Drosophila melanogaster: one gene and its partners. The main gene of each other region encodes a partner of the protein of the gene in region 3 in a complex. Each region holds a gene or a part of one and is shown on either strand. Other genes may lie near its edges. The genes, in order: MED20, MED18 and MED19.

Evidence for each region.
Region 1: MED19 (region 3) and MED20 share a complex: the UniProt entries of both Drosophila melanogaster proteins name them as parts of the mediator complex.
Region 2: MED19 (region 3) and MED18 share a complex: the UniProt entries of both Drosophila melanogaster proteins name them as parts of the mediator complex.

The regions. Positions count from the first base shown.
Region 1 is NT_033779.5:8,071,156-8,074,382, forward strand, and holds MED20 (mediator complex subunit 20), read right to left. Parts: upstream 1,694-3,227; 5' UTR 1,607-1,693; coding exon 848-1,606; coding exon of another isoform or gene 800-847; 3' UTR 657-799; downstream 1-656. Other genes in the region: poe (purity of essence), read right to left, coding at 17-111, 293-411; Trf (TBP-related factor), read left to right, coding at 1,816-1,970, 2,042-2,561. UniProt on the Drosophila melanogaster protein: Component of the Mediator complex, a coactivator involved in the regulated transcription of nearly all RNA polymerase II-dependent genes.
Region 2 is NC_004354.4:1,863,832-1,867,466, reverse strand, and holds MED18 (mediator complex subunit 18), read right to left. Parts: upstream 1,559-3,635; 5' UTR 1,454-1,558; coding exon 1,329-1,453; intron 1,282-1,328; coding exon of another isoform or gene 1,259-1,281; coding exon 972-1,258; intron 905-971; coding exon 663-904; 3' UTR 580-662; downstream 1-579. Other genes in the region: Pex5 (peroxin 5), read left to right, coding at 1-459; Gcna (germ cell nuclear acidic peptidase), read left to right, coding at 1,731-3,297, 3,360-3,635. UniProt on the Drosophila melanogaster protein: Component of the Mediator complex, a coactivator involved in the regulated transcription of nearly all RNA polymerase II-dependent genes.
Region 3 is NT_037436.4:17,844,836-17,848,591, forward strand, and holds the start of MED19 (mediator complex subunit 19), read right to left. Parts: upstream 1,667-3,756; 5' UTR 1,357-1,666; coding exon 919-1,356; intron 60-918; coding exon 1-59. Other genes in the region: CG7430 (uncharacterized protein), read left to right, coding at 2,362-2,403, 2,712-3,239, 3,303-3,756. UniProt on the Drosophila melanogaster protein: Component of the Mediator complex, a coactivator involved in the regulated transcription of nearly all RNA polymerase II-dependent genes.

The DNA of each region.
Region 1 (3,227 bases), on a different chromosome or scaffold from region 3:
ATTAGGGTGCACTTACTTGTCTTGATTTGCATAAGTTTGTCCGCCGCCAGGGCCGCAAAGGCCGTGTAAAACTGCGTGAAATTGCTTTCCTCCTCGAAAAAGTCATGTTCGCTATGCAAATATCGGAATAGAGCGTTGTTAGTTCTCGATATTAAAGAATTTTCAAAGCTTTTTGCTATTTCGTCACCGGAGCGGCCATATTTAATTTTGCAAGTCACTTTTTGCACTAGCAGAAAATTTTTCACTACGCCATTCGGTAGGCGAAAAGTTCTAGATGATCGTTTGTACTTACCATCGCGTGATAGCTTTGAGCAAATTAACAACTTCGTTCTTGTTTAAGGCTCCTGTACGGTTAAGTATCAGGGCTTTAACAACGGAATTCCAATCCGTTCCGCCGCTGTGGGCCGACATTATTGTTTAAATAATCTCGTCAATTTGCCCGATAGTACTGAGTACTCGGCCTACTGTGTGGCCAGATTTCATTAACGGTAAAATGCCGTGCGAGCAGGGATACCACACAGCTTTAATCATTATTCCAATCAGCTGTTTTAAAAATACATAAAAAAGTAGTGAATAACCAATATATGAAAAAAACTGTACACTGCACAAAATATATATATATATATATATATAACTATAATATTTTAAACGTATTTGGACAAGCTAATAAATGTTTTGTTTATTCGTCTAAAATATGTAAAGCAAACTAGTGATGCTAGCTTTAAAATAATGATTATTTAATTATTAAATATTAGTGACATATGTATATTTTTTTTGTTTAAATTATCTTCTAAACATCTTAATCGGCTGCAGGCTCATCCGGTGGCTCCAGCTTGACGTCGGCGGATCAGGATCGATGTAGTCCCGCCACCGCCGGCGACATATGCACGTTCGGACCAACCTGTTGGCTACCCGGTCCACTGCCCATACCGCCCATAAGAGTCACATGCTTCCTATAGTTGGTGAACTGCTCCAGGTATTGTTTCACGGTGTCCATTGGCTCAAAGATGTCGTTGTGCTTGGCATGCAGCTGCTGTTGCCCCATTGCCGTCATTATTGTCTGTGGAGCGAAATAGGAGGGAAAGTCCTTATTCACAGCAATGCCGAGGAATCCCTGCAGCATTTCGCGTATCATTTCCCAGCAGTAGGCCAGAATCACGCATGACTTGTACTCGATTTCGATGAGGATGCCCTTGAAGTGCTCCATCATGGTGACGGAACCGAGTTTGATAACAAAGTCACCATACTCGAAACGAGCGCCACGGGACTCGATTTTGGTCTGCTTTTTGGAGGTGAAGGTGTTGGTCATCTTGAGCATGAGCAGATCGAAGATATTGTCGGCGACAATGGCCACTTGTTTGCCGGTGCCATTGTCGATGATCGAGAACGTGGAGGCGGGATACTCGGAGTTGTGCAGGACGTGGACTGCGCGTCCAGGTGCTCCATTGTGCGGCTGTGGCGTCGAGATGAACGTTTCGCAGTCCACCAGAAATTGACCGGCATGTGTGGCGCCCAGGGCGAGCAGACGCTTGCTCAGCTGATCGATTATGTGGGCACCCGATTTGCCTTCGGGTAAGGGATACGGTTGAAGGATAGTTACTCCCATAGTTTATGCAATAATGTCAGCTTTTTAGTTTTATTAATTTTGTTTACAAGTCTTGCAAGCTAAAAGCGTCCAGTGTGACCAGTGCTGACTTTTTAGTCATGAGAAAAGTTAGACAAATAAAAATACCAAACCGGCATACAATTTTCGTCAGCAATAAAATAGGACAACACTGGCCACGTCGCGTGCGGATTTGTTTATAATTTTCGGCAATGCAGTTTCACTTTAAAGTCGCGGACGCTGAAAGGGACAGGGATAATGTGGCTGCGACCAGCAATGCTGCCGCCAATCCGCACGCAGCCCTGCAGCCGCAACAGCCCGTTGCCCTGGTGGAGCCCAAGGATGCACAACATGAGATACGATTGCAGTTGGTTGACCACTTTTCAGAGGCACTTCATGAAATAAATAGAAACCCATTGATACATCCATAACTTGCAGGAATATCGTGGCCACCTTCTCGGTGAACTGTGAACTGGACCTCAAGGCAATCAACTCGCGTACGAGGAACTCGGAGTACTCGCCCAAGCGCTTTCGTGGCGTCATCATGCGAATGCACTCGCCCAGGTGCACAGCGCTAATCTTTCGAACGGGCAAGGTCATCTGCACGGGTGCACGAAACGAGATTGAGGCGGACATTGGATCGCGAAAGTTCGCACGCATCCTGCAGAAGCTGGGATTCCCCGTAAAGTTCATGGAATACAAGCTGCAGAATATTGTGGCCACCGTTGATCTGCGCTTCCCCATCCGCCTGGAGAACCTCAACCACGTGCACGGGCAGTTTAGTTCCTACGAACCGGAGATGTTTCCAGGCCTAATCTATCGCATGGTCAAGCCGCGCATCGTTCTCCTGATCTTCGTCAACGGAAAGGTTGTATTTACGGGCGCCAAGTCGCGCAAGGACATTATGGACTGCCTGGAGGCGATATCACCTATTTTACTAAGTTTTCGCAAGACGTAGTTGTTTCTACACATCCAAATGTTTTTGTTTAGCTTAGTTATATTCCATAACTACAATATTTTTAATATATTTACCTTAACTTTTTTAGTATAAAATGTGAAATGAAACAACTTAATTAATAATTTCCATGGGTAAATTCATAGAAATTGTAAGATTTTATTTTGGCCTTACTAAGCAAATTAATTTTTATTTAAAAAAAACTGTTGTTATTTTAAATAAATTTTTATATATTAATGTCTTGTAATCCATTTCATTCTATTCTTTGAATTAATAATAAATTTGTAAGTAATTTGAATTTTTATACATTTTTGTACCCATTCCTGGAATTTGGGAAAAATATTCAAATCCACAAATTCTGAAGTGTACCAACACATTCCATGAAAAGAAAACACATTTGGATAAACATTACTTTTATTTATTTTCAGGTTTCGTTTATTACAAAAGAAAACACAAGACACTTCATAGAGATTCGATTCGATTCTTATGGTACGGAAAGGAGCGACATTCTTAAGTTGTGTACAAAAATTTCCTTGTTTCTCGCTTAGTAGCTTCATGTACATGGCTATGTGAGATTTGTGTTGGGAATTTATAAACTAATTGTGGTTCATATGAAGGCGTATATACGTATAAAACTTACAAACTATGCAGATTCATTATTTGCATAAA
Region 2 (3,635 bases), on a different chromosome or scaffold from region 3:
CTCTACAATCTATCTGGGGAGTTCGACAAGGCGGTGGACTGCTACCAGTCCGCTCTGCAGGTGGATCCCCAAAATGCGAAGACATGGAACCGATTGGGGGCCAGTTTGGCCAACGGCTCGCGCTCCGTGGAGGCGGTGGAGGCTTATCAGCAGGCGCTGCAGCTCCAACCGGGCTTCATCCGTGTGCGTTACAACGTGGGCGTATGTTGCATGAACCTTAAGGCCTACAAGGAAGCTGTGGAGCACTTACTCACAGCGCTTACCATGCAGGCTCACACTAACGCCGCCCGAGAGCTGCCCAATGCGGCGATGGCGGCTACCTTTAGAGGACAGAACCAGATGTCCGAGTCTATTTGGAGTACGCTGAAGATGGTCATTTCGCTGATGGGCCGCAGCGATCTCCAGAGTTATGTGAGCGATCGCAATCTGGCGGCTCTTAATGAGGCCTTTAAGGATTAACCGCCCCGCAGCTTCTTTATCACTGCTTTGGGAAAGTCCGTTGTTGTCGTGTCATGTGGGTGTGTAAGGTTGAATTTGAGATATTTTTTACTCTGGCAGTGTAATCATTCCCTCTCGGTTCTTTTCTGTAAATTTGTATATTTTCTTACATTTAAGAAATTAAATAACTGTTGGATAAATGCGATGTGCACTTTTATTGTAAACTACGGCATGCCGCCCAGTCGCTTGTAGTCGATCTTCTCGAGCTGCACGAGTGGCTTTAGTTGCTCGGCAAACACGCGCATTTCCTCGCCGACATTCTCCTGCCCCGTTGGCGCCACCACAGAGAGTTCCACTATGTAGCTTTGTGAGATTGGCTCGTTGGCCATGTCCTGCTGCTTGCCGGGCACAATCTTAATGAGCTTGGAGACGGTAATCTTCATGCGCCCCTTGCGGAACATATAGCCTGAAATAAGTCCATTTGTCACTATCCATTTTGGCAACCCAAGCGTAATATATTTCATGATTCCAACCCTTTGCTATGTACTCGAACTCCAGGCGGAAGCCCATTTCCGTGAGGAATTCCAAAATGCCATTGGTGCAGGCGCAGTCCATGCAGCTGCGTACCAATGTAGGCCGGCGCAGATCCACCTCGGGGTTTCCTAGGTAGCGCATCTGAAAGGGTGCATCGCGACCAAGGGCTCGGCGCACGCGAAGAAGCAGCGGCTGGTTGGCATTGGGCTGGCGAAGGCTCATACACACTTCCAGATCGTGAAACGGCTCCGGCGAGGTGTCCACATTGTCGCAGAGTCCCTTTAGTCTGATAGTGGGTAGGCGGTTAGACTGTTAGTCGGGTGCAAACGATTCAAATCTGACACTGGGTCTCCCACCTGTGCATCAAGTGTTCCACGGCGGAATCCAGGATAGATCCCTGCAGCAAGTACTCCAGGTTGGGCAAGAAGCGGTTGTTCATCGCATGGGAGAGCGACTCACGGGCCGACGACACAATCGCCATTGGCTAATTTTGTAAGTTTGGGTGTACTATGGTATTAAATTAACTGAGCAGTAGTTTGGTTTTGTTTTTAGTTTCATTTCCTTGGAAGAATTCGTTTTACTAGTGATGCCGTTTTAGACATTTTCGAACAGCACTAGCTAGATGCCGGAAAATCAAATAGTCTATCGATAACGATGAACGTAAATCGACGCGCACAGAATAATAGCAAATACGAATTTTGCTTAAAGCATATTCATAGAGATTGATTTACCGTAAATGCCCCAACGACGCCCCCAAAATGGCGGATCATAAGTATAGGCTCTTCAATGCGGTCGACCCGAGCAAAGTAAAAGTTCCCTTCAATCAAAAGTTCGCCAATTTGACGCTATCCTCCCACAAAAAACGACTCCAGGTGTCCCATGCGCCGAAGGATCATCCAGAAAAGAGGAACGACCAGAAAACAAGGAAACTGCCAGCAGCTCCCATGCGCGCCAATGTGGGAGCACCCGCTCCGTCCTGCGGGGCAAATACGGAGGACACAGAACTCGACAATTCCGACTACATGGAAGCCTTGCAGCTGAGCGCCGACGGCTGCAGCCAGGATGTGGCAAATGTGGGCGATGTAGAGCTCCTGTCCGCTGGCATCAGCAATTTGAAAGTGCAGCCCATAAATGAGGAGCACTCGGCCAAGCCGGAGATCTCCATTTGCATTTCCTCCACTACGGAAGAGAACGTATCCGGCGACGACGACGCCGCCTCCTGTATCACCATATCCGATTCTAGCGAGGATGAGCAAGAACCCTTGCCTCCCGATAGCATGGCTGTGAGTGAACGGGAAATTGTGGCTAATCCCGGCCAGGAAGACATACCACAGCCCATGCTCACAACCGAAAAAGTGCAGCGCATCGAGGCTTTTCTGCGCGATGTGTCCATAGAGCGACGCGAGATGGAGTGGAATGGCCCATTGACACCGCCCCCCCTCTCTTCCAGCCAGCGGCAATCCCGTCTAGCCGATGCGGACACCGAATCCATGTCGCCCACCGACGAGGACTGGCAGCCACCCACTACCAGGCCGATTTACAACAGCACACAACTGGCGAACAACGATACGCAGGTGAATACCATCTGCTCAGCAGATGCCACTCGATTGGATAGCAGCAAGCGGTTGGCAGACGACGAAACGGAGGCGAATACTCTCGGATCGGAGGAGCTTGAGCCCACATACAGCAGCAAGCGTTTAGCAGACAATGACACCGAGCCCAACACCCTGTGTTCTGATAGTTCTGAGACCCATAACTCGACGATTCACAACAATGAGCCCGTTCCTGATGAATCCATTGAAATACCGGAAACCAGCAGCGAGGGCGAGCTCACGCCGCAAAAGGCCAGCTCTGGTTCCTCCACATCGGGAGGGGACGAACACGGTTCTATCCAGGTCAGCAGTATTAATATTTCAGCGAAGATCAACATTAAAATCAGCATTCCCACTATGGAGTCAAGTTCGGCGGAAGACGACGATGAGCATTACTCTTCGCCCAGGGCCACTAAGTCCCTGCCCAGCTCGGAGGAGGTGCAGCACCAAGAGCACCAGCAGCAGGACCCTCAGAGCCACCAAAAATCCATGCTGTCTGTGGATGATGCATCCGAGGATGAGCAGTTTCTCACCCACGCAGAAAAGCTGCTCAATCAATTGTACGGCAAGTCTTGGCAGACACCAGATGTGATCCGCACTCTAAAGCGCTCCAGTGGTAGTGGCGGTAAACAGGCTCCTCTGAGGCCCAGGAATATTCAAGCAACAGCGGTAACCACCGCTAAAAAAAAGAAGCCCAAGCCAGATGAAAGTGTTCTCGGGGACTTCAGCATATGTAAGAATTTATCCATGCTTTTTATCCTCCAACCGTTGAGTCACACGCGCTTTAATCCCCAGTTACTAAACCTCTGCGCACAAATCAGACTCCTTTAAACTCGACTCGTCTGCCTCCGATGCGCGCTGTCCAAACGGAGAGACGTCCGCGGACTCAAAAGCCGTTGACACGCCCACGCACCAATCATATAGACGAGGATCGCTGGCGCAAGCTCATAGATTCCGACAGCGGGACAGACGCCTCCGACGACGAGGATGCAGATGCCACTTTTAGCGAAAGCGGTAGTGATAGCGACAGTGATAAGGACAAGGAGAACAAGCAAAAGAGAGGCGACCTTA
Region 3 (3,756 bases):
TGTTTGTTTTTGTGTTTACGCGCAGGTGTGACATATGTGGTACGATACTGTTCCGGCAGCTGAAAGGAGCACCAGAATCGGATAAATTAGCAATGTGAAAGTGCAGAGGAAAAAAATAATATATTTTATGCAATTTGTTCTAGTAACGATTTATCCATTGTTTGAAATATATGACATGTAAAAAATATTTCACGAAACCTTTTAAGATGAATTATTATTATTATTAGATTGCATATAGGGTGAAAGAAAACTCTCAATAATATTAAATGCCAATATTTCAATAACAAGAAAGGAAGGACAATCCGTCAACAAGGAAGGTTAGTTTTTTTTTTTTTTTTGAATATCATAATATTAAACCATATGGCAGCAATATGAATTAGTGGCCTAAACTGGCGCGTTCTGATTTATGCACTACTTGCAACAAAAATTTAAAACTGAAAGAAAACGGGCAGGCGGACATGGCCTTATCGACTCAGCTGTTCATATAGATCACTGCGTTGCGAACTACTGACTTAATATACACTGTTCAAAAGAGGTTTAAAGGGAAAACCAACATTTACACTCTTGTTAATTTAAGTAATTTTTGTGATTAATGACTAAAATATTTGTGTTTCAAATTTGTTGTTGAACATAAGGAAAATGAATTACAACTCTAAAATACTACGGTGATTATAGAAATAAGTGACAGAAAAGGTGCGACCAAATAACACTTTATAGTAGATCAGTCTGTGCAAGGACACTTAAATCCAAATTTCATATGCAAATTTTAAAAAGCGAAATTAATGCATGCAAATGTATAGAGACGCAAAGCATTGAATAGCGTCTAAATGTATTCTAAGATGTTCAATGTGCCGTATCTAAAGATTCGTCATTTTTCAAACTGAGCAAGCGAATTAAAAGCATATTGGAAAAACCAACCGGTCCGGGATGCAAGCGGAATCCGGCCAGCTGCACGGGAGTCAGCGGAAGAAGCTCCTTTCCACCAATGGGCGGCTTTTCGATCACGCTCCGCAGCGTGCTATTCTCCACGGGATGCGTGATGAGGTCGTTAATGCCGGGGATGTTCTGCAGAAACGAGGCCAGCGACTCCTTGAACTTCTTCTCCTTGAACTTGGTGAGTGTGTGGTGCAGTCCGTACTCGGTCATGAGATCCTTGTCGCCGGTAAGTTCTGCCTTGGCGGGTGGTTCCTTCATGGAGTAAAATGGCCCCGTGTGAATGATCGTTGGCGTCTTGCCCAGCGAAATGGTCGTTTTCAGGGTGCCGGATGAGTCTTGACGGGCCACCACGGGTGATCGGCCGCCGCCGTGGGGCGATGACTTCGGTGAGTCCATCATGTTGCCGTAGTTGCTCATCATCTTGGAAACTCAGCGATTCTCTTCACTCTTGGCAACCCACGCACACAATCGCACCGCACCGCACACGCTCACGCACACAGGGGCACAGCAACAAGGCAAGGCCAGCAGAAGGTGTCGCCTGTCGCGGCTCTCGGGCAACGCTGGCCAAGCTCACACTCTGCAAAATGCGCCGCGTCTGCCCGGCACTTCGGCTGACTCTTTTCTGGTCGAAAACTGAACTAATTATTTGCTCTTGTGGCGTTTTCTAACAGATTTCGGGGGCAAGTCTCGCCATCTTGTTGTGTCCGCGAACCAGTGTGACCGCATTGCGACAGCTAGCGAAATACTGAGGCTTCAACGAAAACGCGAGATGAACGCGACGTGAAAATACCAAAAGTGTTGTGGGAAATATCCCAGATGGGGAATACCACACAGGGTTGTACTGTAGGGCAAACTATCGAATATTCATCGTATAATACATTTTTAATTACCTATAGATATAATAAAGTTAATATTACTTTGGAACTCTTATTATATATGTATCGTATGTACGTTGAGTTATATATTTTTAAAACAGTTATTTTACAGTTTATTTATTACAGTTTATTTTATACGTACAAAAACATTAATTAATGGGTGCCAAAACTATAAAAGCCGGCTTACACGTATAGTTGGCTTGTTTTTAGGTAGCTTTTGCTACAACAAATGACCCATAAAGTGAATATTGTATAAACTAGCAATTGAGTGACGGACATATCGTATTTTGAACGATCATCAAGCTAATATTTTTATACACATCTTTTTCATACGAAAATGTTTTAGAATTTCAAATTCCAACAGAGTGGAAAATCACCAAAACAATCGATAGCATCGCGGCCATCATATGACCACTATCGAATGCACATCGCCAGCCCTGCGACCGCTCCGAGCCCCACAACACGAAAAACAGTCGGAAAAACACACATCAAACTAGTGTTGTGTTTGTAGTTAAATAACGATTATCCTCATAACTCGCCCGCACCAGCCATGCAATTCACGCTCCGTCATGTTGTTTCGGCAGTAGCCAAGGTAAGGATCGGGCGACATAACCGATTCCCCAAACGCCATCGCCCCTCAAGTTATGCAATCTAACCTCACCGAGGGGGTCGAGAAATGGGCAGGAAAAGGCTGGAAAATGCACTTGGATCACCTGCAGTGCTCATATGATCCCGGTGGGTGATTCACTGGCGTTTGGGGATTTGTTTGGCCCCGTTTTCAAGGTCGCTAATTAGGCCAATTATCAGCTGATAGTCGGCCGAAGATTAGTGCGAAATGCGTGCGACTGGCGTGATAAATGATAAGGTGCCACAACATGTAGTAATCTGCCGTCTTTACAGACTCCTCTGCGCACCAATGCCGCCATTCTGGGTGCCCTCAACGCCCGCTGCTACTCCAGCACCCACGAGGCGGACATCGTGGTGATTGGCTCCGGACCCGGTGGCTATGTCGCCGCCATCAAGGCCGCCCAGATGGGCATGAAGACGGTCAGCGTGGAGAAGGAGGCAACTCTGGGCGGCACCTGCCTGAATGTTGGCTGCATTCCCTCAAAGGCGCTGCTGAACAACTCCCACTACTACCACATGGCCCACTCCGGTGATCTGGAGAAACGTGGTATTAGCTGCGGCAGCGTTAGCCTGGATCTGGAGAAGCTTATGGGTCAAAAGTCCAACGCCGTGAAGGCTTTGACCGGTGGCATTGCCATGCTTTTCAAGAAGAACAAGGTCACACAGCTGACGGGCTTCGGCACCATCGTCAATCCCAACGAGGTGGAGGTTAAGAAATCCGACGGCTCCACGGAGACTGTCAAGACCAAGAACATCCTCATCGCCACCGGCTCGGAGGTTACCCCCTTCCCTGGCATTGAAGTAAGTGCAAAACCTCTACAGCGCGCTTGATTACTAATGCATGCCATTCAAAAACCTTCACAGATCGACGAGGAAGTTATTGTGAGCAGCACTGGCGCCCTGAAGCTGGCCAAGGTGCCCAAGCATCTGGTTGTCATCGGCGCCGGTGTCATTGGCCTGGAGCTGGGTTCGGTATGGTCGCGTCTGGGCGCTGAGGTCACTGCCATTGAGTTCATGGATACGATCGGCGGCGTGGGCATCGATAACGAAGTCTCCAAGACGTTCCAAAAGGTGCTCACCAAGCAGGGTCTTAAGTTCAAGCTGGGCACCAAGGTGACGGCTGCCTCTCGCAGCGGCGACAACGTCACCGTGTCCGTGGAGAACGCCAAGTCTGGCGAGAAAGAGGAGATCCAGTGCGACGCCCTGCTGGTCAGTGTTGGACGTCGTCCCTACACCGAAGGTTTGGGTCTGGAGGCCGTGGGCATTGTTAAGGATGACCGCGGCAGGATCCCCGTCAACGCCACTTTCCAAACTGTGG